4 linked regions of the Saccharomyces cerevisiae S288C genome follow. The gene in region 2 interacts genetically with the main gene of each other region. Each region holds a gene or a part of one and is shown on either strand. Other genes may lie near its edges.

What was found.
Region 1: mutations in AGE2 (region 2) and NPR1 together harm fitness more than expected from each alone (negative genetic interaction), as found in Saccharomyces cerevisiae (2 studies listed by BioGRID).
Region 3: mutations in AGE2 (region 2) and DED1 together harm fitness more than expected from each alone (negative genetic interaction), as found in Saccharomyces cerevisiae (2 studies listed by BioGRID).
Region 4: of AGE2 (region 2) and CHS6, changing one suppresses a phenotype caused by changing the other (phenotypic suppression), as found in Saccharomyces cerevisiae (one study listed by BioGRID).

What each region holds. Positions count from the first base shown.
Region 1 is NC_001146.8:289,076-297,328, forward strand, and holds NPR1 (serine/threonine protein kinase NPR1), read right to left. Parts: upstream 6,435-8,253; coding exon 4,062-6,434; downstream 1-4,061. Other genes in the region: ubiquitin-specific protease UBP10, read left to right, coding at 423-2,801; mitochondrial 54S ribosomal protein uL11m MRPL19, read right to left, coding at 3,118-3,594; YNL184C (uncharacterized protein), read right to left, coding at 3,482-3,808; chromatin-binding/pre-rRNA-processing protein IPI3, read right to left, coding at 6,885-8,253. UniProt on the Saccharomyces cerevisiae protein: Nutrient-regulated protein kinase that promotes the activity of at least 6 distinct transport systems for nitrogenous nutrients under conditions of nitrogen catabolite derepression.
Region 2 is NC_001141.2:271,345-278,291, forward strand, and holds AGE2 (GTPase-activating protein AGE2), read right to left. Parts: upstream 2,503-6,947; coding exon 1,606-2,502; downstream 1-1,605. Other genes in the region: putative protein phosphatase regulator PIG2, read left to right, coding at 1-1,433; CBR1 (cytochrome-b5 reductase), read right to left, coding at 2,728-3,582; protein kinase PKP1, read right to left, coding at 3,764-4,948; GVP36 (Gvp36p), read left to right, coding at 5,181-6,161; APQ12 (Apq12p), read left to right, coding at 6,379-6,795. UniProt on the Saccharomyces cerevisiae protein: GTPase-activating protein for the ADP ribosylation factor family.
Region 3 is NC_001147.6:719,377-727,198, reverse strand, and holds DED1 (DEAD-box ATP-dependent RNA helicase DED1), read right to left. Parts: upstream 4,289-7,822; coding exon 2,474-4,288; downstream 1-2,473. Other genes in the region: GEP3 (Gep3p), read left to right, coding at 1-1,635; imidazoleglycerol-phosphate dehydratase HIS3, read right to left, coding at 4,591-5,253; MRM1 (Mrm1p), read left to right, coding at 5,491-6,729; BFR1 (Bfr1p), read left to right, coding at 7,134-7,822. UniProt on the Saccharomyces cerevisiae protein: ATP-binding RNA helicase involved in translation initiation. Remodels RNA in response to ADP and ATP concentrations by facilitating disruption, but also formation of RNA duplexes.
Region 4 is NC_001142.9:236,659-244,884, forward strand, and holds CHS6 (Chs6p), read left to right. Parts: upstream 1-2,755; coding exon 2,756-4,996; downstream 4,997-8,226. Other genes in the region: 1-phosphatidylinositol 4-kinase LSB6, read left to right, coding at 605-2,428; SAP185 (Sap185p), read left to right, coding at 5,424-8,226. UniProt on the Saccharomyces cerevisiae protein: Member of the CHS5-ARF1P-binding proteins (CHAPS) which mediates export of specific cargo proteins, including chitin synthase CHS3.

The sequences.
Region 1 (8,253 bases), on a different chromosome or scaffold from region 2:
AACCCGTATTCGTGTATCACCCGGCCAGCTTTCTCCGATGAACGCGCACAAGTAAGAAGTTAAATTGCATCCCCCAGACACCACCTCTTTTGTTCACTTCTTGCCTCATGCCGTCAAAAAATTTTTTTCGCATCGAAAAAAATCCCCAAAAGAAAAGAAAAAAGTTCTTATTTTTATATAGTGCCACCATCGGGAAAAACTTCCCTGTAAAGCATTAACAGAGTCTTCCATCCCCGCTTCTGTCCTTTATTTGTTTCATAGAAGCTATTAAGCATCATATACTGCACACAGGAGCATGCATAGTGTCTGAAGCCTCTTTTGTTCTGTACTGCACATAATATTTCATAGAAAAACTAACGGAAAGAATCTACAACTCATAGTATCTGTAAATCCGTCCTATTGTCATATCACAATCACAGACTATGACCACTCAAGAATCGATCAAACCTTTGGTAGATAGAATCCTATCAAATCCCCTGCAGTTCAATGCTGCAATGATCTCTAACAAATCGAATAATAATGATACTTCCGCCGCGCCGGAAAATAGCTCGTATATTGTGATAGGAAAACAGCATAATAACAATAGTAATAGCACAGCTATTGCTGCAACGGCCGAATCCAAGCAAATAAAAGAAAATAACTTGATAGACAGGCCAAACGGAAAGAAAACCAACACTGTTCCTAAATCTATGGCTGAAGCTTTATTGTTGTATACTTCTAAAAATGATAAAGATGCTGCAGATGCTACTGGTGCCAAGAAGTCAGCGGAGCTTTCTACGGAGCTTTCTACGGAGCCTCCTTCCTCTTCTTCGGAAGATGACAAAGTAGGAAAAGAGGAAGAGGAAGAGGGTGAAATATTTCATGAGGCAAGAGACTATGTAGAACCCCGAAAAGCTAGTTTGAAGGAACGCGACAACGCAGATAAGGGCGATGGTGAAGACATCGGCGAAGACATCGGTGAAGACATCGGTGAAGACATCGGTGAAGACATTGGTGAAGACATTGGTGAAAACTTGGGTTCTCCATTAGCAACCATTGATGATTCATCTAATGAGAATGAAAAGGAAAAAAGAAAGGAACTGTCTACAAGCATTAGCAGTGATGACGAAATAGAAGACGACGAGGATGAGGATGACATGGATTATGATTCTAGTGCTATGGAAAAAGAGCTCCCTGAAGAAGAGGAGAACGATTCCAGCTCCAAAATTTCTGAAGGCGAAAAAAAGAGTTTATATCAAGATTTAATGGAAAATAGTACAGTGGAAGTAAATCGGTACGAACCAGTAAACAACACCAAAGAAAATGGAAACAGGAATCCAAAGGGAGAGGAGGAGGAAGAAGAGGAAGAAGAGCTGAAACATAAATCTAGGTCAATCACCCCTCCGGTTACAATATCAAATCTATCAAACTTTTACCAATTCAATGAAAATATCAATGATCGTGGTTCTTTAAACTCTACTAGAATTGTTAAAAATTGGGGCGACAAATTCACCAATTTGAAGCCTCGTGGCCTTTTGAATCATGGTGTTACTTGTTACACAAATGCTGCTGTACAGGCTATGTTACACATTCCTTCGATACAACATTATCTTTTTGATATACTAATGGGGAAATACGATAGCACCATCTCAAAAAATTCCGTTTCCTATACTTTAGCTGAAACAAGTAAAAAAATGTGGTTACCGGTCTCAAAAAACCCTAGAAAGAACGTTTCAGCTTCCTACATTAATCCAAAACATTTGATTTCCAGATTGGATGACATTAATTGTATGATGAGCGAATGGCAGCAGGAAGATTCACATGAGTACTTCATGTCTCTGATGTCAAGATTACAGGAAGATTCTGTTCCCAAGGGTCATAAACTTATAGAATCGATAATATATGACATATTCGGTGGTCTTTTAAAGCAGATCGTTACTTGCAAATCTTGTGGCAGTATATCTAAAACAGAACAACCATTTTACGATTTATCGTTGCACTTGAAAGGGAAGAAAAAACTTGATCCAAATTCTGACCTGTCGAGTGATAGCATTAACGGCACTTCAGCCACCACTTCTACCACTACCTCCAATGCTGCCACAAAACCATCTCTTTCATCCTCTTCATCTGTCAATTTAAACAATGGCTCACCATTTGCCGCTGCCAGTGATTTAAGTTCAGCCAACCGCAGATTTTCTATTGAAAAATCAATTAAAGATTTCTTCAATCCCGAATTAATCAAGGTTGACAAGGAGCAAAAGGGTTACGTTTGTGAGAAGTGTCACAAGACCACGAACGCCGTGAAGCATAGTTCAATATTAAGGGCTCCTGAAACTTTACTTGTGCATCTGAAAAAATTCAGATTCAATGGCACGTCCTCATCAAAAATGAAGCAAGCTGTTTCTTATCCTATGTTTTTAGATTTGACGGAATATTGTGAGAGTAAAGAGCTACCTGTCAAATACCAACTATTAAGCGTGGTGGTTCATGAGGGCCGCTCCCTTTCTTCAGGTCACTACATTGCCCACTGCAAGCAACCAGACGGTAGCTGGGCCACTTACGACGACGAGTATATTAATATAATATCTGAAAGGGACGTTTTAAAGGAACCCAACGCATATTATCTCCTATACACGAGGCTAACTCCAAAATCGGTTCCATTGCCATTGGCGAAATCTGCCATGGCCACTGGTAATGTTACCTCTAAATCCAAACAGGAACAGGCTGTTAACGAACCAAATAACCGCCCATTGAAGATTAATAGCAAGAAAAATAACAGAAAAAAATGGAAAAAAAATAAAAAAAGGAAGTTCACCAAATGAAAAAACTCGATATTCCTGGATTTTCCTCTTTTCATAGGCATTTTTATTAGCATTTCATTTTTATTATACCAAATCAATATATACATATAAATATCCGGTCTTTATTGACTTATAAAACAACTCTCAGTATACAGAGTTGGAGAAGCGTTTACTCAGAATAGCTTCAGTACTACCGAGCTTTGCTAACATAACGGGAGAAAGAGAATTTAAAACTTATATACATATTTACAGAATAGATCAGTAGAAAGAAGAAGGAAGGTCTGTTGAAAATTTCTCGAAATTGACGGTACTTTTTTGTCTTTTCACTACTTACAGATCAAGGTACAACCTTAATACCCATACTTTTTGCAACGCCAACTATTGATTTAACAATACCTTCCATCTCCAATAAACTATGCCTTTCATCACTCTTTTTTATCTTGGCTATTTCGTAAACGTGCTTCAGCGATAACTCTCCTAAAGCACGGGTTGGTCCCTTGGCAGGTGCACTGCCTAACATTGTCCCCACATTCGGTTGTCCATGTCCCTTGTCCATTTTAAGAGCTTTTAGCAGCAAATATCCGGTTGGTGGAGATTTCATTTCAAACGTAAATGTTCTATCAGGTTTTATTGTGATTAATACTGGAACCGGTACACCTGGCTGATAGTTTGCTGATCTTGCATTAAATTCCTTACAAAAGTCAATGGCTTTTATACCCTTGGAGCCCAATGCGGGCCCCACGGGAGGTGATGGTGCCGCTTGGCCTGCTCCTACTATTAGCTTTACTATCACGTTTTTTGCTGCCTGTGACATTATGGAGACTAATAGTTCCTCTATGGTATTCGAGAGTTCGAAAGTACAACAAACAGAAATAAATACAGAAGGTTACGCTGTCGATTTGAATGTTCACGCTTTTTTTCCTTCTTATGAGTTGTAGATTTACTGCACTTTCTAAAGCTTCTTTGCTGTGAAATTTTAGAAAAGGGAATTGTCGCCTTGGTAAGACAATTAATGTTACCCGCTTCATTATTATTAATTAGTGGCGCGATATTTTAACGAACTTTTCCATTAATTATTATCATACTAAGCTTTTACATTTTTCTGATAAAATAGTAGATTATGAACAGGAGGTCAATCTATTTAGGCTTCTATAGAACGGTAAAATATGAAATTAGTTTAACAGAAGTAAATATGACATTGTATTTTAACATATACTCAAATAGGATAAAAAAAGGTTATATACAAATGCTTGGAAAAGAAATAAAAGTGGGGACGCTTATTTATTGATTATTTTGCTTTTTCTTTTTCTTTTCTAGGCCTGCAATATGTGCTTCACTTTGATCCACTTGTGTGTGATGATGGTCTTCTCCTCTAACCACTTTGAACGATAATCCATCTTCAACCAAGTGGCACATATCAATGCTACGGATCCAAGGATCTTCCATGATTTCTTCGATATTTCCTCTGCATGCGGGCGCCAAATCAATCATACGTCCAACAATATGCTGAGTCTCTTCTGGTAATGAGTGCAACAATCTTTGTGGCCCGATATTAACATTATTAGGATCTGATACATTATTGGAAGAGCTTTCGGGTTTTTTCTTTTCTGTTGAGTGCGATTCATCGTAGGAAGGTGGATCAGGAGTTCTTGTAACCAAGCTACTTAAGGAGTCGCAATCACGTCCGGAACAAAATAGTTTGAATGAATTGTCCCTTAATTTCGGAATTTTCCATGGAAATTTCTTCAGTATCATACATGCAAAAATGATTGCAGAAGACCAAATATCTACGGGACGTGGGTCATACTTCGCAAATATACAGACTTCAGGTGCTAAATATGGATCACTTCCAACAATTCCACTTGCTTCCACAAGATTTTTTGAGAATGGATATGAAAATACCACAGCAGCACCAAAATCGATTAATTTTACAATACCTTTTTCGTTTATAACACAATTATCTAGCTTTAGATCTCTATGAGCTAAGCCGATACTATGCAAATATTGTACACCAGTAAGTATTTGTTTGAAGCAACAACAAATCTCTTCATAGGACATTTTATTACTCATTACAATAGCAAATAAATCGTATTCACAATATTCCATAACTTGGAGAATTCTATCATTTTCATACACGATTTCAATTGTTTCAATGATATTGGGATGATTCAAAGTTGTACCAATACAGTATTCTGATGTAATTTTCTTGACATAATCTCTTTTGGATTCATTTTCAAATTTAGTTCTAAACTCCTTCACTGCAAATATTTTGTTATCTGAAATTCTTTGAGCTAATTTGACAGAACCTCCTGCTCCAGCGCCTAAATCGGCACCGGTTTTGATGTACCTTTTTGAGAACGGAATTCCTGAACCGCCGTGACTATGAGAATAAATAGTATCTCCATTTCCGTTATAACTAGTGGAATATGAGTTATTCCCTGCGGCAAAATGAGACGATGAATGAGAGTGTGACGGAACGGCAATTCCGCTAGAAAGAGGTGATCCGTTCGGGATCACGTTGTTACTATTCGAGGAAAGGTTACTGTTAGAACTTTTTTTGAAGAACCTCTTTAAATCACCGATGGAAGAATGTTGTGACCTTGGAACACTTTGACTTGGAGGTAAGTGGTCATGTACAGATGAGGGGGAACCGTAAAAGTTATCAGTATAGGAACCAGTTGGCTGTCTTGATGCAGAATATATGCTGCTTTGTCTTGCGCGGATAGGCTTCGGGATAGGCGTCGAACCATTGGTAACATTGGGATTCTTAATGTTTGGAGAAGGACCATTGGAATTGGCAGAAAAAGACATGCCTGCAGAGTTAGAATTTGAAGATTCTTTTGAGTTTTTGGAAAAGAAAAAATTCCCAAGCTGTGAAGAGAATGAACCTGAACGGGATATAGATCTTGATTGAGTGGCATTTGCATTATTACTATCCATCGATGCTTTTTGGAGTTTTTGTTTGGAGATAACAAAACGTGGTTCCACGCTATCTACTTTTGGGGAGGATATAACATTTGAATCGATTGCAGAAATATTATTGGGCATACCGCCTGCATATGTTTCGAGCCACGAAGAAGACAAAGAGGAGCTGTTGCTATTCGAGCTATTGTTATCTTTGTTAGAATTTGGCACGGAGTAAGGTATACTTGATGATAAAGAAGGAATGGCCCTTCCTGAAGTATGTGACGTGGTAGATAATCTACTTGTGATTCTGTTCTGTGCAGCAAAAGAACCACCATGTGAGGAAAGTCCTGCAGTACCTTGATCGTTTATTAAGGATCCAAATCTATCTCTACTTTGTGCACTTGTGCCGTAGAATGATGCAGTGTGAGCAAAGTTTGCATTAAGGAAGCTGGAGGAAAACTGATTCCTATCGTCGAGAGAGGAACCGGCTGTTGATGATGAATCTTCCTCTGAGTATATTTGAGTAACAGTTGTGACACTGCCAGGAACTGGCACGTTAGCCCTATTACGATCACTACTGCTGCTATTACTCACGCTACCAATATGACTACTACTCTTATTCCTAGAGTGAAGGTCAAGCGATTGTGACTCGGGCGTCGTGGTCAACGTATCAGCAGAAGTTCTCGGTGATGAGTTCGAAGTTTCATTTTTTCGTTTTTCCTGTAGCAATCGAGTTAATGAAGACATAATGTTTCGTAGAGCTTTCCTTTTTTGTTTGAATGGGTATGAGCTGTTGGAAAATCAGAAATAGGAAAGAGTTAGACAAAAGTATTAATGAGTTCTGGTACAAGCCAACTAGTTTGTATGGGGTTGAAAATGACGCAAAGGAACGAGAACTCCTGTTTATTATTCTTTCAATAACAAAAGCAAGATTTTTAGTCACTGCCGATTGTTGCCACTAGGTACGCCACTGACTAATCCGTACTAACTCTATACAACTAAAGGCGGCCCATATTCTGAGATAAGCTATAAGGGTAGGAATTGTGGGATGCGTCATTGATAACGAAAAAATTCCGTAATAGATGATCAGTCAGATTGAGAATGAGATGTTTCGCACAAGTGATGAATTATATCTATCTATGCTGTATATTTTAATAACATTCCTATTTTATTGTACAAAATGCGCGACTATTCCGTTTATTGCTTGTCAAGCATCTGTTGGTGTTCCTCGTACAGCTTTTCGTGCATGTCACGTAACTCCTTGTAGGCATGAGTTAATGCTTCTATGTTGGTCTTAAGTTCTGTAATTTCCTCATCTTTAGCGGCATTGCTGTCTAAAGATGAAGTGGCGTCGATTTTATTGTCAATCACTTTTACATTGCTTGACACCTTACCGATATGTGAAAATATCGATTCTTGCGTTTTGACCTGCTCCAAATAGGCATTAAAGTCGTTAAGTGGTAATGCGAGGTTAGGATCTGTCTCTGCTTCTGGTTCTCCTATCTGATACCAAATATCGTGTAAATGGCCTTTGTTTTTACCATCAAAGATAACTCTTTGTAAGTTTGGTATCTTCATAAAATTGTGACCATTATTATTACTAGGTTGTTTGCCTTTGGATTCTCCTTCAAAAAGTAAATTTCCACGTTCGAGTCTGTAAGGGTTGGTTAAGAGATTGGTCACTTCTCCAACTGAATCCTGTGATGTAGTTAAAGTTTGGATAGTTCTAATGATTTGTTTTGAGTAAATTTCCGCAATAGAAACTTTCCCCTCCGTATCACCGATCAATAATAATGTACCATCCATTGATATTTCTAGGCATGACACATTTGAATTTAGGACATTCTCACAGACAAGTTGGCCCATTGCATATAGTGCATCCAAATCTTCATTTTCGCCGCCAGTTAGTGAGTTACGTTGCACTAGGGAAAAAACCCTACCTTTTTGAACTGTGTTTACTCCGGCGGACTGTAGCAGATTAACGATAGCATTACCCTTTAGTTTATAAAATAAATTCAATGAAAAACAACCTTCCGCAGTACCAATATAGCATGCTCTGTCAGCAGGATCCAGTACAATGGATTTGATAGAATAAGGAGTTGTAAATGTCGCAAGCAATACTGGGGTCTTACCAATACTAACGTCATTTTCGTTTGCCTTCTGCTTCTTTTTGCTGCCTATTAAACTCAAATCATAGCATCTAATGGTAGCATCTTGAGATACTGTGAAGAGTTTCGTATCAGTACATGATAAAAATTTTCCTTGACTAGAAGAAACTTGGAAATCTGTCACGGGTAGAGTATGATCGTGAAGGATACATAAAGGCTTAGGATCATCATTGGACGCTGATACCAAGTCAACAGTTTGCCATATAATAACTCTCGAATCGTTACCAGAAGTAATAATATACTTGCCGTTTAAAATGGACTTAATCTTGGTGATACTTTGGTAATGAGCCATAGGCTTCACGTTCAATAAAATCCCTGAATTTAACTCCCATATGTACAATTTACCCGATTCGGTGGAGCCAAGTAAAAGGTACGGAAGATTGAAGTCTGGTAAATTA
Region 2 (6,947 bases):
TATCTAATGTAAAACTGCACAGATTACCTCAGGACGAGCTTCAAAGAAATACGGACATGAATAAGGGAATGTATTTTAATGGGAAACAAGTTCATGCCCATCACCCGTTTATAAATTCTGGAGCGAACTTTAACGCACATCATCAAGACGTCAGTAAATTAGGCGAGGAGGAAGACGAAATCTCTCCTCTATCACATGATAATTTCCAGTATGAATCCGAGGAAAATGGTAATCCTTCACCTCCCATTTACAAGAAATCTGGAGAACTGGTTAAGAGTTCATTAAAAAGAAGATCCAAGTCCCTACCCATTACTCCCAAATCTATATTCAACAAAACTGGCTCTAAGAGTAAACATGTCAATTTAGATCATGTAGATACTAGGCTATTGCAAAGAAGTAAAAGTGTCCATTTCGATCGTGTTTTACCAATAAAGCTGTTCAATGAAAATGAGAAACCCATAGATGTTGGCAAACAAATGGTTCAACAAGATGTTCTGAATTTCAAGCATAAGCCTTTGACGAGACTAAGTGCCCTTAATGGCGGTAGTGATAGCGTACCTATAGAAGATTTACTATCTGAAAACAACCAAAACGAATATGGAGATACATGGCTACAAAACCCGAAGGGTGTATTCCTATTTGGTACAAATTCTAATAATCGTAGAAATAAAAAAAAGAAGTTTAAACTAAGTGACGATGACAGTGATATTGAAAATGACAATGATAGTGACGACGCTATAAACCGTTTAGTAAGGCAACAAGACAAAGACCAAGCTCATCTTGCGCACGGGTTGAAGAATTTGTTAATAAACGATGACGACGATTATTTAGAAACAAGAACAAATTCTGCTAAATCAGGAGCCAACTTGTTTATTGGAAACTCTAAAAGAATTGTTGGTCTTTACAACAAGAACTTTCCAATATTAAGTGACAGGAACCGTAAGAGTTTAAAACTTAACATATTTCTGAATCTTTCCCGTGGAAGGCCCGTTTTTTTGCAAGAAATTACGCTACTAACTGGCTTCCACAACATGGTTATAATTGGCAAAGTCTTTGTGAAAAACATATACTTTGATAAGAAGATTATCGTAAGATATACATGGGATGCATGGAGAACTTTTCATGAATCAGAATGCGTGTATTTTTCTAATGCCAATGGCATCTTACCAGGAAGCAATATGGATATTTTTAAGTTCTCCATTGATGATATACACAATCCAAATGATAAAGATAGCAATATATCACAATTGGAGTTTTGTATTCAATACTTAACTTGGGGCGTTGATCGTTCTAGGAAGGAATATTGGGACAATAATGATTCGGCAAACTATAAAATTGACGTGGTAACGAATGAAACGAGGACAGGGCCCACAACAGACGTCAATGATAACTACGAGATGAAACATAGTCTTTTCAGAAACCCATTCCATTAAAGAAAAAAACAAAAACTAATAGTATTGTTTTACATATACAAAAGAAAAAAAAAAGATAAGAATACGTACTTTCTATTTTTATTTGAAGGTCATTTTCTTTATATAAAATAATATACTGGAATGATGTTCTTTTTGTTGCTTTCTATATTTGCTTTCTTTTTTTACTTTTTATTCAACTCCAGACGTTCTTAAATAACTCGTTATCATCCAATGAAATGTTAGAACTGGAATTTGAATTCATACTATTATTATTTGTAGCGGTAATTCCAGTGTTCACGAATGGTGACGGAGTATTACAAGGCTGAGGTGTCGTGGAAGTGAAAAATGAGTTCTGGCTTTGAGTCTGGGCAGAAGGTTTTGAGTATAAAGATAAAATGGATTTTTTCAAATCGTTCCTTTGCCCAAATTCACCGACTCTGTTGCCAGTCTTGGTATTAGCAGCACCTATGCTTGTTGCAGAACTAGTTACACTTGTATTAGATGTAGTCTTAGAAAGCGATGAAACCTGTAGGTTTAATAAGCTCGTATTACTCCTTGAGGTGCTTAATAAGTGGGAAGGTGGTTGTGTTTGCGTCTTTTGTAATGAATTTGAGCTCTGGTCCAATCTTGCATTCGAAGCAGGCAACGAATGATTCGCAGACGGCTTATGCAGAACTGGTTCAGTAGAATCATTTAACCCTTCAATACTGGAGAGGTCACCAATCCACTTCTTATATTCATATTTATTCTTGATGAAATTTTGTAAACTGCTCGTATCAGTGATTTTCCTCTGTTTCAATTCATCAGCCAAAGTAGCTTCGTAGTATGAGTTAGCTCTTAAATTGTTTTTGAACTGTATCAGTTTCACCAAATGTTCTTCCTTCCATGTATCCAGATCAACAGATTTCACTTTCGAAATGTGCGTTCCCAATGATCTATGTATACCAGCACATTTAATGCAAATGAAAACACCAAGTGACCAGGAAGCCCAGCGTGGATGTAGTTGCGCCTTACAGTCGGCACAATGACTGTTTCCTGGATCGCGTAAAAGAGCACTTAATGCCTTCTTGACTGGGACTGACGTCGACATCGCTTGTAAATTGCCCCACGTTCTATGCTCCTTTGTACAGTTGAAGCAAGTATTACCTTTACTTTTGTTACTATTAGTACCGATCTTATACGTATTATCGAGTCGAAAATCGTCCAGCACGAAATATGGAAACGGTGCGTTTAGGTGACTAAACTAAATAGCGTATATATTATATATGTTCCAATCTATATATATATATATGGCACTCTGTTACAGTTCCTTATCTTAAAACACAAACACCTGGTCTTCCATCTTGGAAAGCGGTTTGGAACGTCTGAACCCCAAGTCCACGGTACTTCTTCTAACTGAGGCAACCATGGCTGGAGGACCACAGATCAAAATTTGAACGTTGTCCATTGTAGCAGCGGGCAAGTGTTCCTTGATGACATCCTTGGTAATGTATCCTACACCACCAGTCCAGTCTTCACGGTCAGGAGAGTCTAAGTAGTAAACTATCTTAAATTGGGAAGGCTTCATGGCCACCAACGCTTCCAGTTCCTTCTTCAACAGAATATCCTCCTCATGGACGTTCCCAAAGACTAGAGAGACCTTGGTAGTGTCGTGAGGGTCCATGGCAATAGCTTTCATGATCTGATACATGGGCGCAATACCAGTACCACCAGCAATCATCCCTAGATGGGAACGGCAGTTTCTCTCATAATGATAGTTCCCACGAGGGCCCTTGATCTGGATCGAGTCACCTATCTTCAACTCTCCAATCATCTTAGAAACGTTACCTGTGGGGTAAGACTTCACTAGTAATTCAAAGTTTCCCTTTGTATCTCCATCCAACGATGTGGGCGTATACGATCTGGTAATATCCTTACCATTGATATTGGCCTTAATTACGATATGCTGACCAATTGGTAAACCGAGTACGTCGTCAGCATGAGGTAGCCCGAACTTGTACATCGAAGTATTATGCGTTAAGATGGTTTTTTCAACCAGCGGAAATGATTGGAAGTCATTCCTTTTGGGATCCAGCACAGGCTTGGTCTTCGGTCCGATAATGAACTTGAAGAGCAAAGGCACGACCACGATCACGATGACCACCACAAGCTTTTGAGCATCAATAGCCATCTTCGATTGCTTAATTGATTGAGTCTCTTGTTGAAGAGCCAGTTGAATGCATACTTTCAACACTTTTTTTTCTCGTTCATTTTTTCGCCTTATATAATAAGAATATTTATACATATGTAGATAATTTAAAGAAGTAGAAAGAGCCCTTAATGGTACCGCTTTACGAGGAAATTTAGCACTGTTACTTTTTGGAGAGTAGTGCAGTCTTAGAAGGGCCTTTGAGCTTGATGTACACGTCCGTGCCCCAGCCAAGTAAACTTTGAACGTCAATCTTGCCCCCAAACAGTTCTAGGTACGTCTTGCACATTGGTAGACCAAAGCCCATGCCGGAGACGTTGTTGATTTGCTCGCCGGGCAGATCTGTAGACTCAGAGTCAGCTGATTGTTGGGTATGTGTAGAGTAAGAGTAGTTGAACATGAGGGCCTCTACCTCGGGCGTGATCCCACCACCATGGTCCCGTATCCGTAAGTACAGCTCGTCATCGTCTGGCTTTAAAAGATTGATCTCTATGGGCATATGTTCCTTTCCAAGAGCTATCTGAGCTTCAAAAGCGTTCTTGAATACCTCTGTCATAATATACTCCAGAATGGGCGGAATGCACGTGAATGTGATGTCTTGTGATGGCGGGTGAATTAGGACCGGGGTCCGCTGAGTGTTGAACTTCACAAAGCATATATCATTGACATAATCAGAAACGTGCTTGATCAATTGTGCTATGGGGAGGTCCCGGTGCAAGATTCCAATCATCCTTTTGTTCGTGTCACCTTTGTTCTGTGCCATCAACGACAAATAGTGCGTCACAAGCAGCTTCATCGTGATTCTCTCCTTCAGGTGGAAGTTCAAGAACTGCGAAATTTGAAACTTTGGGTAACACGATTGGATTTCCTGAAGACCTTTTGCCAATACCACAATGGCGTCCTCGTGGTCGTCCAGCAGTTCTGTGAACTTGGCCTGTATCTTGGGAGGATTGTGCAACTCGTACGGGTATGCGATTGATAGCAACGTTTGCAAGCTTTTCAAATACAAAGAGTTGGTTCTCTCAATATGAGGGTTGATTACCGCATTATACGGTAGCCTCTGAATGGCATTAAGCCGTTTACACGTCAATGAAAGCAACAGGTTGATTGTCTTGATCGTCAGCATGTACTCCTCCTTCTTGGTCAGCGGCGGCCTGTATTGCAGGAAATACTCGTAGTTTAGGGGCGCAATTGGTTTACTAGCGTAGTCCTGTATCAGCAGCTCAATGTTCGACCTAATCTTGTAATGCTGGTCGAACGACAGTTGCGACAGCAGCTCGTGTGAGGGTCGCTGGCGATGTGCCCAGCGCATTCCCCCACATTTCCATGAACGCATAATCTTCCACATACTACCGTGAAGGCGTCTTGATACCACGTCTTCCAGTTATGGTCTTGACTCACCAATGTTCTCAGTTTAATGTTGTTTGCTTCATACTGGCAGACATTTTCCCTTATTACCGTGAGAAGCGAGCGGTGGATTAATCGGGATGTCAAAAACAAGAAAATTGCAACCTTCTTCACCTATAACCTATATGATTTGTAGGCAGAGGAGTGGAATAAGCAACAAATCATAGTCATCAATGTCGTTTAATGCCTTCGCCAGCTCTTTGAGCAAGAAATTACAGGAAATATCCACAAGTGTTTCCGAAAAAACCCAGGAATTGCCCAGTTTGGCGCAATCCACCCAAAGAATGGTCCAGGAACGTTTGGGCCAGGTGACGGACATCTCCCAATTGCCAAGAGAGTACACAGAGCTGGAAGATAAGGTTGACACCATCAAACTGATTTACAACCACTTCTTGGGTGTAACTGCTATCTACGAAAACGGATCGTACGATTACCCTAAATACATCAACGAATCCGTCAACGAGTTTTCAAGAAGCGTGGCTTCCAAGTTGACAGAGTTGACTCATGCTACATCTGCGTCTGAGGCACAAAACATCTTAGTTGCTCCAGGCCCCATCAAAGAACCCAAGACGTTGAACTACGCCCTCAGTAAAGTGGCTTTGAACTCCAGTGAATGTTTGAACAAGATGTTCCCCACCGAGGAACAACCCTTGGCTTCGGCACTCTTGCAATTCAGTGATGTGCAGGCTAAGATTGCTCAAGCTAGAATTCAACAAGATACCTTGATTCAAACCAAATTCAATAAAAATTTGAGGGAAAGGCTCTCTTTTGAGATCGGTAAGGCCGATAAGTGCCGCAAGGATGTCCATTCCATGAGATTAAGATATGACGTGGCAAGAACTAACTTGGCAAACAACAAGAAGCCAGAAAAGGAAGCTTCCTTGAGAGTCCAAATGGAGACTTTGGAAGACCAGTTTGCTCAAGTCACTGAAGACGCTACTGTGTGCTTGCAGGAGGTTATTTCTCACGCTAACTTCAGTGAAGATTTGAAGGAATTGGCCAAGGCTCAAGCTGAGTATTTTGAAACCTCGGCTGGCCTAATGAAAGAGTTCCTATCCAACTCATTTGCGGAAGAGCCGGAAGCAAAGCCTGAGGTTGCAGAAGAAGAAAAGCCACAGACAGCTATCTCTATGAATGACGAAGACGACGCTTAATAGCCGCCCTGTTCTTGTCTTTCTCTCTCCTTCTCTATATATATATATTTACTTAATACAATATCATATTCTCTAGTGTCGTACGAATATTATCATTTATTTGCTGGCTTTTGTAGTGAGTATATTTTTTGTAGAGAAAATATAATTACTGGAAGAGAAAAAGCTACTGAAAAAAATTTCGTAACAGTCACCAAAGGGCAAAGTGAGCAACCCAAAAATGGACGCTACTCAACCGCAATACGAACTATCCGTAGTAACACAATGCCTAAAGTCTGCCATTGACGTCATCCAATGGTTGATTCCTACTATTACTAAGTTCAGCCAATCACACCCGTTAGTTTTCCAACTATTGTTTATTTTCTTCACATTTTATGTCTTTTACAAGTTGTTGATGAACTTCATTACTCTGGTCAAAAGATTCCTGTATTTGACGTTGGTAGTAACATGTATCGGTATTTATATGCGTGGTTCGCAGCAGTTTTTGACTGTGGACCTGTTGAATTTCTACAATTTCGTCATGTCAAATAGATACTACGCATTTAAAATTTATACTCTGTTTATTAATGCCCTGGAAAGAGAAATCAACACTGTTTATCATTTGGCGCAGATGAAAATGGAACAGTTGCTTAAATAGAGCGAAACGCCTCTGCTTACTCGGAACATCTTAAAGTAATTACATATCTTAATTTCTAAATATTCATATAGATAAAGAACGTTTTTTTTGCTAGATTCCTCCCCTAGTCACTATCAAATATTGAGCTATTTTTGGTGACTTGTGTTTTCCAA
Region 3 (7,822 bases), on a different chromosome or scaffold from region 2:
CAGTTTTCCTGTTCTGTGATTGTGAAAGTGAAATGTGCGTCATGTTCCATAAAACTACAGGATCAGGATCCTAGTAAACCAGGATATTATACGAAGCCAAAAAGTCTACCCGACTCAAAACTAAATCCTGACCTCCAAGATCTGAAGTATTTGCTATTCAGTCAAGACATACAGCTCTCGAAACAGGCAACTCAAAATGATCCTGACCTCAAAACCAAAAGAGATTTACTATTGAGAGTGATTTGCAAAAGGTGCAGTAATGCCCTTCATCATAACAATTATAACCCGGAAGAGTTTCCCGAAAGCACATTAAATGATATTCTGAACTACGTCCCCAGAGGCTCAAATGTTATGCATATTGTCCCCTTTGTAGAATTTCCCTTACATTTAGACCCCAATGTTTTGAAACGAAATGATTTAGATACTACATTAGTGTTAACGAAAAGCGATCAAGTTTTTAAAGATAAAAATGCTGTCAGCAAAAAGGTTCCTATATTCATGAAGCAATTTTTAAAGAACACTTTAAGAATTGACTCAAATAAAACATTCGCCATATCTGCGCTGAAAAACTGGAACATATCCATGTTTTACAACTACTTTAAAAACTACACATATTTGCTAGGCAACCCTAATGTTGGTAAATCAACTTTGATCAATACTCTACTACAGAAATATCTTGGATATAAGGTTAAAATTGATTCTACTGGGAAAATTAACTCCCCCTCTGAAGAAGTGATGCAAGAAGCTTTTACGAACCCGAAGAATTTTTTCAAGATTCAAGCTGCTGGTGTATCACATATTCCCAATTTAACTAGATCCGTACAAGCCTACCAAGTTGGAGGTAAAATACTTTTTGATCTTCCAGGCTATTCAACTTCCACCTCCAGATTACGCCTAGAAGAACTAATCGACGAGCGTTGGCTTCAAAGGCTGCGAAAAACCGATTTATTCAATCGGAAGCATATAAAACAGAAGACTTATGAGTCTATGAAGGGCACATCACAGGGAGGCTGTTATACCGTGGGAGGGATTTTCTACCTGGTACCTCCGAAAGGATCCATAAATCAGATTGTGAAATACATACCAGGACCATCAAAAACATTCAAGAACATTGAAAAAGGTATTGATGTATTCAACTCGTGCAATTCATCATCTGGCACACATCCGTTATCACGGTATTGTGGAATTAAAAGCGTTATATGCGAAAAAAGCCAGTACAAAAGGTACGCAATACCTCCATTTATTGGAAGTATAGAGATCGTTCTGAAAGATATAGGATATATTTTATTAAGGACAACTGGGAGGTATGAGTTCAAAGGACTACATGAGATATGGATACCTAGGGGTATCCAAGTAGGTATAAGGGAACCGCTAGAAAACTTGATTGAGTCTGGCTACCAGCGTTACATTGAAACAAATGGTAAAGAGTCAAGCTGTCCCAGAGATAGACCGATCATCAGTTCCCTGTATGAGATGGCCCCGGATGAAGCTGATACTTTGAACGCAGTGAAGAAGTCGTATTTAGAAAAAACCGAGAAAGATTTATCTGCTAGAAGATTTGTCGACGATGATCCTTATGATTTGGTTCAACACCTAGAAAAAAAAAAGAATCCCTATTGGTACTACCAATGGTAAGACTCGCTGTTCACTTGGTTGCACCAATAAGTAGTAACGCACATGTAAATATGAATGTAAGTAAACTAAAAAGAAAGTTGGGAACAAAGTATATTCAAAAACGAATATACAGGAAATAAGCAATAGAAAGTATTATGAATTATACTGTTGATGTTTATTCTATCTACAAAACACAAATAAAGTAGAGTATAAGGCGAGTCAATAAAAAGGCCTCAACTCAAAAAAGGGAGAGAAAATGTAGGAAGGAAATGAATACTATTATACAATGGTACTGTGAACAGTAAGAATATTTTCGTAAGGTAAAAAGAAACAATAACAAACAAAAAAGGTCGAAAAAACTGTTCAAAATAAAGTCTCTATTCGAAGAAAACTGAAAAAGTGGAAGTGGAAATAAAAGATAATGTAAATAATCAGTCCAATGAATAGATCGGTTAAAGCAATTAAGCAAAAATAGTGGAAAATATAGTAAAAGTAGATAATAATTCCTTCATCTTTTCACTAAAAGATGAAAATCTTAATTGCTTATAATCATAGTGAAATCTTTAGTTTTTTAGTTAATATTAGCAAAGGCATTTTATAGTACAATTGTAAAATAATATTAGAACCATGAAAGAAAAAAAAAACAAAAAAACGATGGATAAAAAATAAGAGTGGAAAAAAAGTAACAGATTAGTGGCTCCCAGTGAGAAAATAAAAAAAATATGGGGCCAATCAACGGCTAGAGAGAAACAAACAACACAGTATTTTCAGGACTTGGATAAAAAAAGTGATTGGAGAAAGAAAATATAAGACATGCTAGAGCAGAAAACGAAGAATCCTCACCCTAGTTTGTCTGAAATCACCACCAAGAAGAGTTGTTTGAACCACCGCTGTTACCCCAGCCAGAAGACTTGGAATCGCTACCCCAGCCACTACCGCCTCTGAAAGAGTTATCTCTGCTTCTTGAAGAGCCCCAGCCGCCTGCGCTAGCGCCTCCGGCCTTACGGTAATCTCTGTTGTTGTTGCGACCGAAACCGCCTCTACGGCTGTTGCTTCTGCTACCTGGAGCACTCATCATAGCGTCCTTCAAGAATGATGGGACTTCTTGGTTAGCTTCAGTCAAAATTTCATGCAAACCTTTAACAATGTTACTGTTTTCACTGTTGAAAAAGGCAGTGGCAAGACCGGTGTTACCGGCACGACCAGTTCTACCAATTCTATGGACGTAATCATCGACATCACTTGGTAAATCGTAGTTGATAACGTGGGTGACGTTTGGAATATCTAGACCTCTAGCTGCGACAGCTGTGGCAACCAATAAAGTAGCGGCACCAGATCTGAAGGCGGCCAAGGCACGTTCTCTCTCAGATTGGGTACGGTCACCATGAATGGCGGTAGCTCTAAAGTTTTGCATGATCAGGAAATCGGTCAATTGATCTGCCATTCTCTTAGTTTCGACAAAGATCAAAGTCAAACCGTCAGTGGATGCAGACAATAGATCCAATAAGGCTGACTTCTTATCTTGATTTTCAACGTATAAGACTTTTTGAGTAATGTTTTCTGAAGTAGAACCGACTCTACCAACAGACAAAAAGATGTAGTCACTTAAGAAATCACGGGCCAAATGTTGGATATCAGCGGGAAAAGTAGCTGAGAACATCAGAGTTTGTCTTTCACCAACAGGAGTCATATCACAGTCTTCGACAATATGTCTAATTTGAGGTTCGAAACCCATATCCAACATTCTATCAGCTTCATCTAGAACCAAATACTTGACGTTGGCCAAAGAAATTTTACCACGTTCCAACAAGTCATTCAAACGACCTGGAGTAGCGACTAAAAGATCGCAACCACGTTCAATTTCTCTTAGTTGGTTACCAATTGGAGAACCACCGTAGACGACGCAGGCCTTGACCCAGGATCTATAAGTAAATTTCTTGGCTTCATCGAAAATTTGGGTGGCCAACTCTCTAGTTGGAGCCATAATGACAGCAGTTGGGTAGGCCTTTCTTTGGTAAAAGGAGCCTTGAGACTCTGGTTGAGGAGATGGTCCAGTCTTAAATGATTCGGACAACACTGGGAATAAAAACCCACCAGTCTTACCAGAACCGGTCTGCGCACAGGCCATCAAATCTCTGCCGTTGGCAACGATAGGGACGGAGTATTTTTGCACAGGTGTTGGCTTGGTGAAACGGGCCAATTTGATGTTTTCCAATAACAATCCGTCCAATGGAGGTGAGGTAAATTCTGTGATTGGTTCAGGAACATCCTTACCAGAGGCGTCCACTGGAATATCATCGTAGTTATCGAAGTTAATACCAGAAGATTGGAAATTTGGATCCTCGGGGACACCAAATATGGCGATCTCGGCCTTTTCGTTTCTTGGAGCTGGGACATGTTTGCCATCGATCCATCTACCACCAGAACGGCCGTTAGATCTGCTGCCACCGTTGTTTCCACCGAAGAAACCACCGTTGCCGTAACCACCACGACGGTTGTTGCTAAAGAAGCTGCCACCGCCACGGCCACCGTTGTAGCCGCCGTTGTTGTTATTGTAGTTGCTACTGTTATTTCTGGCACTTCTTGGTTTTCCTCTTAAGTGAGGAGGAACATAACCATTCTCGTTGTTGTCGTTGATGCTTAAATTTTGCACTTGTTCGCTCAGTTCAGCCATAATATGAAATGCTTTTCTTGTTGTTCTTACGGAATACCACTTGCCACCTATCACCACAACTAACTTTTTCCCGTTCCTCCATCTCTTTTATATTTTTTTTCTCGAGTTCAAGAGAAAAAAAAAGAAAAAGCAAAAAGAAAAAAGGAAAGCGCGCCTCGTTCAGAATGACACGTATAGAATGATGCATTACCTTGTCATCTTCAGTATCATACTGTTCGTATACATACTTACTGACATTCATAGGTATACATATATACACATGTATATATATCGTATGCTGCAGCTTTAAATAATCGGTGTCACTACATAAGAACACCTTTGGTGGAGGGAACATCGTTGGTACCATTGGGCGAGGTGGCTTCTCTTATGGCAACCGCAAGAGCCTTGAACGCACTCTCACTACGGTGATGATCATTCTTGCCTCGCAGACAATCAACGTGGAGGGTAATTCTGCTAGCCTCTGCAAAGCTTTCAAGAAAATGCGGGATCATCTCGCAAGAGAGATCTCCTACTTTCTCCCTTTGCAAACCAAGTTCGACAACTGCGTACGGCCTGTTCGAAAGATCTACCACCGCTCTGGAAAGTGCCTCATCCAAAGGCGCAAATCCTGATCCAAACCTTTTTACTCCACGCACGGCCCCTAGGGCCTCTTTAAAAGCTTGACCGAGAGCAATCCCGCAGTCTTCAGTGGTGTGATGGTCGTCTATGTGTAAGTCACCAATGCACTCAACGATTAGCGACCAGCCGGAATGCTTGGCCAGAGCATGTATCATATGGTCCAGAAACCCTATACCTGTGTGGACGTTAATCACTTGCGATTGTGTGGCCTGTTCTGCTACTGCTTCTGCCTCTTTTTCTGGGAAGATCGAGTGCTCTATCGCTAGGGGACCACCCTTTAAAGAGATCGCAATCTGAATCTTGGTTTCATTTGTAATACGCTTTACTAGGGCTTTCTGCTCTGTCATCTTTGCCTTCGTTTATCTTGCCTGCTCATTTTTTAGTATATTCTTCGAAGAAATCACATTACTTTATATAATGTATAATTCATTATGTGATAATGCCAATCGCTAAGAAAAAAAAAGAGTCATCCGCTAGGTGGAAAAAAAAAAATGAAAATCATTACCGAGGCATAAAAAAATATAGAGTGTACTAGAGGAGGCCAAGAGTAATAGAAAAAGAAAATTGCGGGAAAGGACTGTGTTATGACTTCCCTGACTAATGCCGTGTTCAAACGATACCTGGCAGTGACTCCTAGCGCTCACCAAGCTCTTAAAACGAGAATTAAGAAAAAGTCGTCATCTTTCGATAAGTTTTTCCCACAGCAAAGCAATAGTAGAAAAAAACAATGGGAAACGTTGAATGAAGACAAAGCGTCGTGGTTTAAAAGGAAATACGCTCACGTACATGCTAGGGAACAGGACCGTGCAGCGGATCCATATGGCAAGAAAAAGGCCCACGTCGAGAAGCTAAAGGAGATCAAGAATCAGGCGAAATTAAACCAAAAGAGCCATAAATCCAAGTTCCAGAATAAGGACATTGCTCTGAAACTTATGAATGATAATCCTATCTTCGAATATGTCTACGGCACCAACAGCGTTTATGCAGCGTTGCTGAACCCGAGTAGAAATTGCCATTCTCGGTTGCTGTACCATGGCACTATTCCTAGTAAATTTCTTCAGATAGTCGATGAACTGAAGGTTACGACAGAGCTGGTGGACAAGCACAGATTAAACTTGTTGACCAATTACGGGGTGCACAATAACATTGCTCTTGAGACAAAACCTTTGCAGCCTGTGGAGATTGCGTACCTAGGCGACATGGACACCAGTTCAGCAGCATTAAGCATTCACGAGCTGGGCTTCAATAACGAAAATATACCTCATGAACTGCCTTATGGTACGAAAACAGACGCTAAGAAGTTTCCTCTCGGGTTATATCTGGATGAAATAACTGACCCTCACAATATCGGTGCCATTATTAGAAGCGCTTACTTCCTGGGGGTTGACTTCATTGTGATGTCGAGAAGAAACTGCTCTCCTTTGACGCCTGTGGTGTCCAAGACAAGCAGTGGGGCCCTCGAACTTCTGCCCATATTTTACGTTGATAAACCGTTAGAGTTTTTTACTAAATCACAAGAAATGGGTGGCTGGACGTTTATTACAAGCCACTTAGCTAATGCCACGTCAGAAAAATACACTGTTGGAAAAACTATTAGCATGCACGATTTGAACGGATTATGTAACGAGCTGCCTGTTGTTCTAGTGGTGGGGAACGAAAGCCAGGGCGTAAGAACGAATTTGAAGATGAGGAGTGACTTCTTCGTCGAAATTCCCTTTGGTGGCATTGAGAAAGGCAATCGGGCCCCAGAACCCATTGTTGACTCACTAAACGTAAGCGTGGCTACTGCATTGTTAATAGATAATATTCTAACTTGTAAATAACCGTCATATAAAGTAGCACAAACATACATAATAAGCCTATATACATTATACATGTGTAATGGTGGTGGTACGCGAAAAATTGCTTACCCGCACTGTGGCGGTGAAAAAAAATAACTGATCTCGACGACGTTGAACACGTAATTCGCATTTTATCTCGAACATTTATAAGCCAAATTGAGTTTCGAAAATTGCTTGGTTGCGTTATACATAGCATTAAAGTACGACGGAGTCTATTTTCTATTTTAGGTTCATCCTTTTTTTTTTTTTCATTTTGCCCCTCCATCTCCATTTTTCACTCATTCTGGTCATTTCTTCGTTCAGTTTCATTCACATTTTTGAACTGATTTCACCTTTCCTCCTTTTATCAACGTAATAGCATATTTTCTAACAACACAGCCATTGCCATGTCCTCCCAACAACACAAGTTCAAGCGCCCAGATGTCTCCGTTAGAGACAAGAAATTGGACACTCTTAACGTTCAATTGAAAAAAATCGACACTGAAATCGGTTTAATTAGAAAGCAAATCGATCAACACCAGGTCAACGATACCACCCAACAAGAACGTAAGAAGTTACAGGATAAGAACAAGGAGATCATCAAGATCCAAGCTGACTTGAAAACCCGTAGAAGCAACATTCACGACTCTATTAAGCAATTGGATGCTCAAATCAAGAGAAAAAACAACCAAATTGAGGAGAAGTTAGGCAAAAAGGCCAAGTTCTCGTCCACTGCAGAAGCCAAGCAAAGAATCAATGAGATTGAAGAGTCTATTGCCTCTGGTGACCTTTCTTTGGTTCAAGAAAAACTACTAGTCAAAGAAATGCAATCTTTGAACAAATTGATTAAGGACTTAGTTAACATCGAGCCAATCAGAAAGTCTGTTGATGCTGACAAGGCTAAAATCAATCAATTGAAGGAAGAATTGAACGGATTGAATCCAAAGGATGTCTCCAACCAATTCGAAGAGAACCAGCAAAAATTGAACGATATCCATTCAAAAACTCAAGGTGTTTACGACAAAAGACAAACTTTATTCAACAAACGTGCTGCCTTGTACAAGAAGCGTGACGAATTATACAGTCAAATCAGACA
Region 4 (8,226 bases), on a different chromosome or scaffold from region 2:
TAGAGTCGGCTCACTGAAAAACCGGGGAGGACGAAAAGGTTTCCAGCCACAGTTGTAGTCACGTGCGCGCCATGCTGACTAATGGCAGCCGTCGTTGGGCAGAAGAGAATTAGTATGGTACAGGATACGCTAATTGCGCTCCAACTACCAAGGTTGTTGAGGGAACACTGGGGCAATAGGCTGTCGCCATTCAAGAGCAGCAACAGGCATGGGAAGATTCGCTTTTTTTTTTTGAATTACAATAGTATGTCTGATGTCTGCAAGAAGTAACAGGCGTGTGCACAAGAATACGTGTGTGTGCGTAAGCGTATGCACTGGTGGCATAACTTATCTAAGAAGTATATATCACTGACATAGAAATGTAGATATACAGGTATTTTTCTCGATAATCGATAAAAATCTCGTCGCGCTGAACCAAACTTGGTGGTTACGGAGAGTTTTTCTCTCATCATTACTGTCTTTCGCATTGATTTCCCCTTTGACCGATAAAATCCCTTGGATTCATAAGATTAAACAAAGAGGTGATCAAAGAGAACCCTGTGAAAGTTTATGTTTATAACCGGGCATAAAGTGAACTAGACACTTTCAAGAAGCCAACCAAAGCATGAGTAACGAAGCTTACCAGCATGATCATACCGTAAATCCTCACCAGAAGATAGTTGTGAACAGCTACGATTGGTTACAGTTCCGTGATGAGCAAGATCACTGTAAAAGTAAGAACCCGATAACGCACGCTTCTCCAGGGGTCGGTTCGAATGCACAGAATTCAGACATAGCGGAGGCCCCTCAGGTATTCCACCCTTCCTATCAATCTCTGGTCAACGTACCGTCCGAGAGCCCGCGACCTGATCAGACTTCAGGGTCCAATCCTGCCGTTGGACTGCTTCATAATGCAGAGGACAAAGCGTCAGGGCAAGAAGAAGAAGGAAGTCAATATGAGATTCAATATTCGGTATTTCGTCCGCTGCATGCATATCCAACCAAGGGCCTAGCATATGAGCAGCTCCGAAGAAAAGAAGAACAAGAACAGAGGGAAAACTTCAACCATTTGGTTTCTGACTGTATTGAGGCTGTAGAGACATTTGGACGCGAACTCGAGAGAATCCAAACTGGCTCAAGTGGGTCGTACTTTGTGTATGGAACACGGGCCGACGAAAGCGTTCCGGTGGGGGTCTTCAAGCCCAAGGATGAGGAACCATATGGCCCATTTTCTCCCAAATGGACCAAATGGGCACACCGCACGTTTTTCCCATGTCTGTTTGGCAGAAGTTGTCTGATTCCAAACCTCGGGTACATCTGTGAAAGTGCGGCTAGTTTGTTGGATAGGCGACTGGAAACGCATCTAGTACCCTATACAGATACTGCATCTATAGAGTCTTTTAATTTTTATGATAATAGAAAAAAATGGGTATTGGGATACAACCTTCAGAAGAAGAAACAAAAAAAGCTGGGTTCTTTCCAACTTTTTTTGAAGGAGTACATCAACGCCGATGAGTTCTTTCATAAATACCCATTACCTGGGATGTATTCAGATGTTAAACATTCATTTCATCGTAAGTCATCCGGCGAAGATATCAATCATAAACCAGAGACAACCAGGAACCTAACAGATGAGACAGAACCGTCCAAGCAAATAAATTCCTCTCCAATTTCGACGGAATCTGAAGAAAATTCGAAATTTGAATGGACAGAATCAAGTTTGAGTCAGTTCAGATTGGAACTAGAAAAACTAATTATCCTTGATTATATAATGAGAAACACAGATAGAGGTCTAGACAATTGGATGGTGAAACTAATCAAACTTTCAAACAATAAGTGGAGACTCAAGTTAGCCGCCATCGACAATGGGTTGTCCTTTCCCTGGAAGCATCCTGATGAGTGGCGTCTGTACCCATATGGCTGGTTGTATTTGCCTCTGCAACTACTAGCCAAACCATTTTCTGAGCAAATGAGATCTCATTTCCTACCGATATTGACAAGCACTAATTGGTGGGAAGAGTCGTACCAAGAATTCTTGGCCCTATTTAGCAGGGACCAAGATTTTAACGTCCGAATGTGGAAGAAGCAATGGGCAGTATTAAAAGGACAGGCGTTCAACGTTGTCGAAACATTGAAAGACCCACGACAAGGCCCCTTGGAATTGGTTAGAAGGACAAGGTGCCAGGTAATAGATGAGAAGATGCAAGTTCCCTGTTGCCCACCTCCAGTTTCTATTTTCAAAAACGCCATAGACGAACCTATTGGATCATATTCCACTTCACCAATGGTACTCCCTAGCACCCCAAGCACAATTCCATTTCATGCACATAACCAAAGCAATAGTAATCCTGTATACTATGATTCCACTCTGCACCCATTTGCTAATAAAACAGTGATAGCAGAGCGGCTACAAATAGTCAATTCCACCCCCGTATTCACCTGGTGTTGATTTTTTGGAAAATAATTCAATACATACTCAATATAAAGAAATCATAACTCTACTTTAGCATATAGGAAATAGACTCTTTCGAAAAAACCTCTTTCTGTAGTGTTAGAAAGCAACCGGCTATTATTTTTGTGTGTCTTCGAAAAATCGGAACCCAAACAGATCTTAGCGGATTCATGGTAAAAATAGCCTTGAAGAATTTAGGAAAATAAATAGATACTCAAAAAGGAATAGAGGATCTTAACAAATCATTACATTACTTAACTCACATTAAAAGCAAACACCTTTCTTAAGCTGTTGGTGCAAAAAAGGATTACATCTATTGCCCTTATGAATTTGTTTTGGCCATCGGAAACCAAAAAGCAAAATGAAATACCTGGTGGCGATTATACACCTGGGAACTCACCTTCAGTACAAAAGGGTTATCAATTCCTCAATCGAGACATATTTAAAAGTTGTCCACGAATTATGGAAAGGCAGTTTGGTGAGTGTCTGCACAATAGAACGCATTTAATCAAGGATTTAATTTCTTCTGGCAATGTTGGACTAGGTCCCATTGAGATTGTTCACATGTCCTACTTAAACAAACATGAAAAAGAAGAGTTTGGTGAATATTTCTACGTTACAGGGATCGAAGTTTCCGGTCCTGCAATGCCCGTAGAGTTTCTTGAAGTGCTAAAATCGAGTAAGCGGATTTCCAAAAATATATCGAATAATATCATATTGACTTATTGCTGTTTTAATTTTTTCAGCAATCTAGACATCCGTATTAGATACGATGCTGACGATACTTTCCAGACAACGGCAATTGACTGTAACAAGGAAACCACTGACCTGACCATGACAGAAAAAATGTGGGAAGAAACGTTCGCAAGTTCTGTCATCCGAGCGATAATAACAAATACTAATCCAGAGTTAAAACCTCCCGGTTTAGTAGAGTGTCCATTCTACGTTGGAAAAGATACTATCTCCTCTTGCAAAAAGATCATAGAATTACTCTGCCGATTCTTACCACGGTCACTGAATTGCGGGTGGGATTCTACCAAGAGTATGCAAGCCACCATTGTCAATAACTATTTAATGTATAGTTTAAAAAGTTTTATTGCAATCACGCCAAGCCTAGTGGATTTTACAATCGACTACCTGAAAGGACTTACCAAGAAAGATCCAATCCATGACATATACTACAAGACGGCTATGATCACAATTCTAGATCACATAGAAACAAAGGAGTTAGACATGATAACTATTTTAAATGAGACGCTCGACCCCCTTTTATCTCTGCTAAATGATTTACCGCCTCGCGATGCTGATTCAGCACGATTAATGAATTGCATGAGTGACTTGCTGAACATTCAAACAAATTTTTTGTTAAACAGGGGTGATTACGAACTAGCATTAGGCGTCTCTAACACATCAACCGAACTAGCCTTAGACTCTTTTGAATCTTGGTACAACCTAGCGAGATGCCACATCAAAAAAGAGGAGTATGAAAAGGCTCTCTTCGCAATAAATTCAATGCCTCGTTTGCGCAAAAATGATGGACACCTGGAAACAATGTACAGTAGGTTTCTTACCTCCAATTATTATAAAAAGCCATTGAATGGTACCCGCGAACACTACGACTTGACTGCAATGGAATTCACGAATCTCTCGGGAACGTTGAGGAATTGGAAAGAGGATGAGTTAAAACGGCAAATTTTTGGAAGAATCGCAATGATAAACGAAAAAAAAATCGGTTATACAAAGGAAATCTGGGATGATATTGCGATAAAGTTGGGTCCGATTTGTGGTCCACAATCTGTGAATCTGATTAATTATGTCTCCCCTCAAGAGGTCAAAAACATAAAAAATATCAATTTAATAGCAAGGAATACGATCGGCAAACAATTGGGATGGTTTAGTGGTAAAATATATGGGTTATTAATGGAAATTGTGAACAAAATTGGTTGGAATGGCTTATTAAACATCCGAACAGAAGCTTTCATGATGGAAACTGAATTCTATCAAGCTTCTAACAACATTATCGATGAAAACGGTCATATACCGATGGAATCCCGAAAGAAAAGGTTTTGTGAAGGGTGGCTAGATGATTTATTTTTAGATTTATATCAAGACTTGAAATTGAGCAAGATTAGCCTAAGCAATAAAGATGAAAAACACAGCGGATTAGAGTGGGAACTTTTGGGTTTGATCATGCTGCGTACCTGGCATTGGGAAGATGCCGTAGCTTGTCTAAGAACAAGCATAGTAGCTCGATTCGACCCCGTAAGTTGCCAGCAGCTGCTAAAAATATACCTGCAACCTCCAAAAAATATTCAAGAGGTTACATTACTAGACACAGATACCATAATAAGTTTATTAATTAAGAAAATATCATATGATTGCAGGTATTATAATTATTGCCAGATATTTAATCTGCAACTGCTAGAAAAGCTATGCAACGAATTGGGGACGCATATACTGCGTAATAAGATCCTTCTTCAACCTTCCATAGGAGACGAAATCATGGTCATGATCGATGCCATGCTTGCGTGGATAGCCGACCTAGATCACACAGTACAACCTTGAACAAAACGGTGCTCTTAGTATTATTATATAACCACTACGGTTGGATGGACTGAGGGTAAGGGTAACCGTATACCTTTTATTTTTTTTTTTACATTTTGAACTGGGAAGAAAATTTTTTTTGCGAGGGATTGACGGCTAACGCCAAAACACTCCGAAGAGAATGAGAAAAGCTTGGGCATCGCTCGAAGTCATCGAACGGGACTATTTTTGTTTAAAATTTCACCAGATCTGCTTGATAAGGGTAGTTTAGCTTGTGTATTTGGGAAAGGTACGCAAAAGATATATTTTACTAAGATCTTTAAATATTTTTAGCTTGAGGTAATACATGCTAATTTTAGTTGATTAGAGATTCTGAAAAATTCGTTTTAGTTAGTGTTTAAGAATAGTGGCGTTTATCGTTTTGCCCATTTAATAATTAGGAAAAAATATGTCAGGGTCCTTTTGGAAGTTTGGACAAGATTTTGGTTCACAGTCTCCATTAGCTAAACTGTTGAACAGGGCTTTCATTAAGATCGATGATAAGCCCACTAGTACGGAAGCAGGGAAAATTGACTCTAATAGCACAGATGAAAGTTTAGAAAGCAATTCTTTTAAATCAGAAGACGAAGAAGAAGAATATGAGCTGCCTAACAGAGAAGAAGACTACAAAGCTTATAAGCCAAACCTGTCTCTACTGAATGATCTTTTAGATGATGAGGAGTTATATACAGAACTGATGTGCTCGAACTTCAAGCTACTAGTGTACTTGAAGTACCCTGAAGTTTTGTCCAAATTGATAGATTATGTCAGAAATAGTACCATACTTGAGTCCAATATTGATAGAGTTACTTCAGAAGACAGAGATTTAGTACGTGGTGAAGACAAGGACACAACGGAGGACTTTGAGAATGCTAAAGCAGATAAGAAAAACATTGATGGTACTTTTGAAGAAAAAGAACGTACTCGTAGTGGTGAAGAAGAGGAACTGGAAAATGAAGAAAATGATAGTGCATCTGAGGATACTAGAGTCACTCTACCTCATGAACTAGAGGAACATGATGATACGCGAAGAGCCAGAATAGCGGCCGAAATATTGTCCGCTGACGTGTGGCCCATATCATCTGCTTTGATTGAAAACGAAGGACTTCTCGCTAAGCTTTGGTCGATCCTCAGGCTACCTTCTCCATTGTCAATTGAAGCGTCAACATATTTTATGAAAATAAACGAACGCCTCTTGGATATGAATATGGACGGAATAATTGAATTCATATTAAAAAAGGAACACATTGTTGACGATTTTTTAGCACATATAGATAATCCGCCTTTGATGGATTTTTTATTAAAAGTAATATCGACCGATAAGCCAGAAATATCAAATGGAGTTATACAACTGTTTAAAAAACAGAACTTGGTTCCAAAGTTGATTCATTTACTCGATCCTGTTTTTGATTCTTGCACACAATCTGCAGCCGGTGATTTTCTGAAAGCTCTGGTTACTATTAGCGGTAACTGTCCTAATGAGATTACTTCGAGCATAGGGCCTAATGAATTAACAAGGCAATTAGTTTCTCCAAATATGATGAAACAACTTATGGATATAATGCTCAAGGGAGGCAATTCGTTAAATAATGGCGTTGGCATTATCATTGAGCTGATAAGGAAAAACAATTCTGATTATGATACCATACAAACAAATTATACTACCATAGAATCTCATCCGCCAACAGATAGAGACCCAATTTATTTAGGATATTTGGTTAAAATGTTTTCTGAACACATGGCCGATTTCAACAAAATACTAACTGAGAAGAAGATTCCCCTTTTACAGACGTCCTATGGAACGATTGAACCGTTGGGATTTGAAAGGTTTAAGATCTGTGAACTTATTGCTGAACTATTACACTGCTCAAACATGACTTTATTGAATGAACCGAGTGCCTATGACATTGTAAGAGAGCGTGATGCCGAAAGAGAGAGAATCTTCAATTCACAAAATTACGTAGATTCTAACGATCGTAGTGAATTAAAAGAAAATGAAGACGACAATACAGGTGATGCTGATGATGAAGTGGAAGATGATACAAATCAGGTAGAATCCGCTAATACCTCCATTGATGGTGAAGAAGTTATCGATAAGTTAAATTCTTTACAGATAGAAACCAACAAAGTAAACCAGAACATGAATAATGAAGAGCAACATAGTTTAATGCCAGACTTCAACAATGGTGATTTTAAGGACGAGGAAGATGAAAATCCATTTGAACCCCAATATTCAGACGTCATTTTGGATTCTTCTGATATAGAAAAAAACTTTCGTGTGTCTCCCAACGTTGGAGATCAGCTGAAAATCAGTTTACAAGATACCAGAGTAATAGATACTATGCTCGAAATGTTTTTTCACTTCCAGTGGAACAATTTCCTTCATAACGTAGTGTACGATGTTGTTCAGCAGATTTTTAACGGTCCCCTCAAAATAGGTTATAATAGGTTCCTTTTAGATGATCTCCTAATCAACATCCGTTTAACTGATATGATTATTAACGGAAACAATGAATGCATAGAATATGAGAAAGGACATGACACCAGGCTTGGATATATGGGCCATTTGACCCTAATTGCGGAAGAAGTCACCAAATTTACTGCATATATTGAAGAGATGAACATCACCTTTGAAAATACTGAAGTAATGAGTTCTTTATTTGAGAGTAAATGGATTGCCTATACGGAGGATGTTCTAGAGGATCTAAAGGAGAAATACAACGCCATATTAGGCGATATAGCTGAAGAAGGAGACATGTTGCAAGATGAAGAAGAGGATGCTGTATACGACAAGGGAGAGCGCACTATGGGTACAGTCGATGACTACATTAATGACATAATGCAAATGGACAATGTACGGTGTCAAGAGGAGGAAGAGGATGAAGGAGAAGGGTATGTCAGCTTTGATGAAGATGAACCCCAAGAATATCGTAATGGTGATTCCGTTAGAAGCAAAGAATCGAATTCATCAGAAGGCAAACGTGACCAAGAGCAGCTTTACTATGAGTACGTTAACGAAGATGGTACAAAAACAAGATTAAACTTCAATCCTGATTCTGACGCCACGGAACAAGTTCCAGGTGAAGTGAATCGCGATCATAAGATACCATTGAAGCTTAAGCGAAGTTTTACGGATGCATGCAAATCTGAAACAATACCAAATAATACAGTTAATGCTAAGGAAGAAAGTGTATTTCAATTTAGCAATGAAC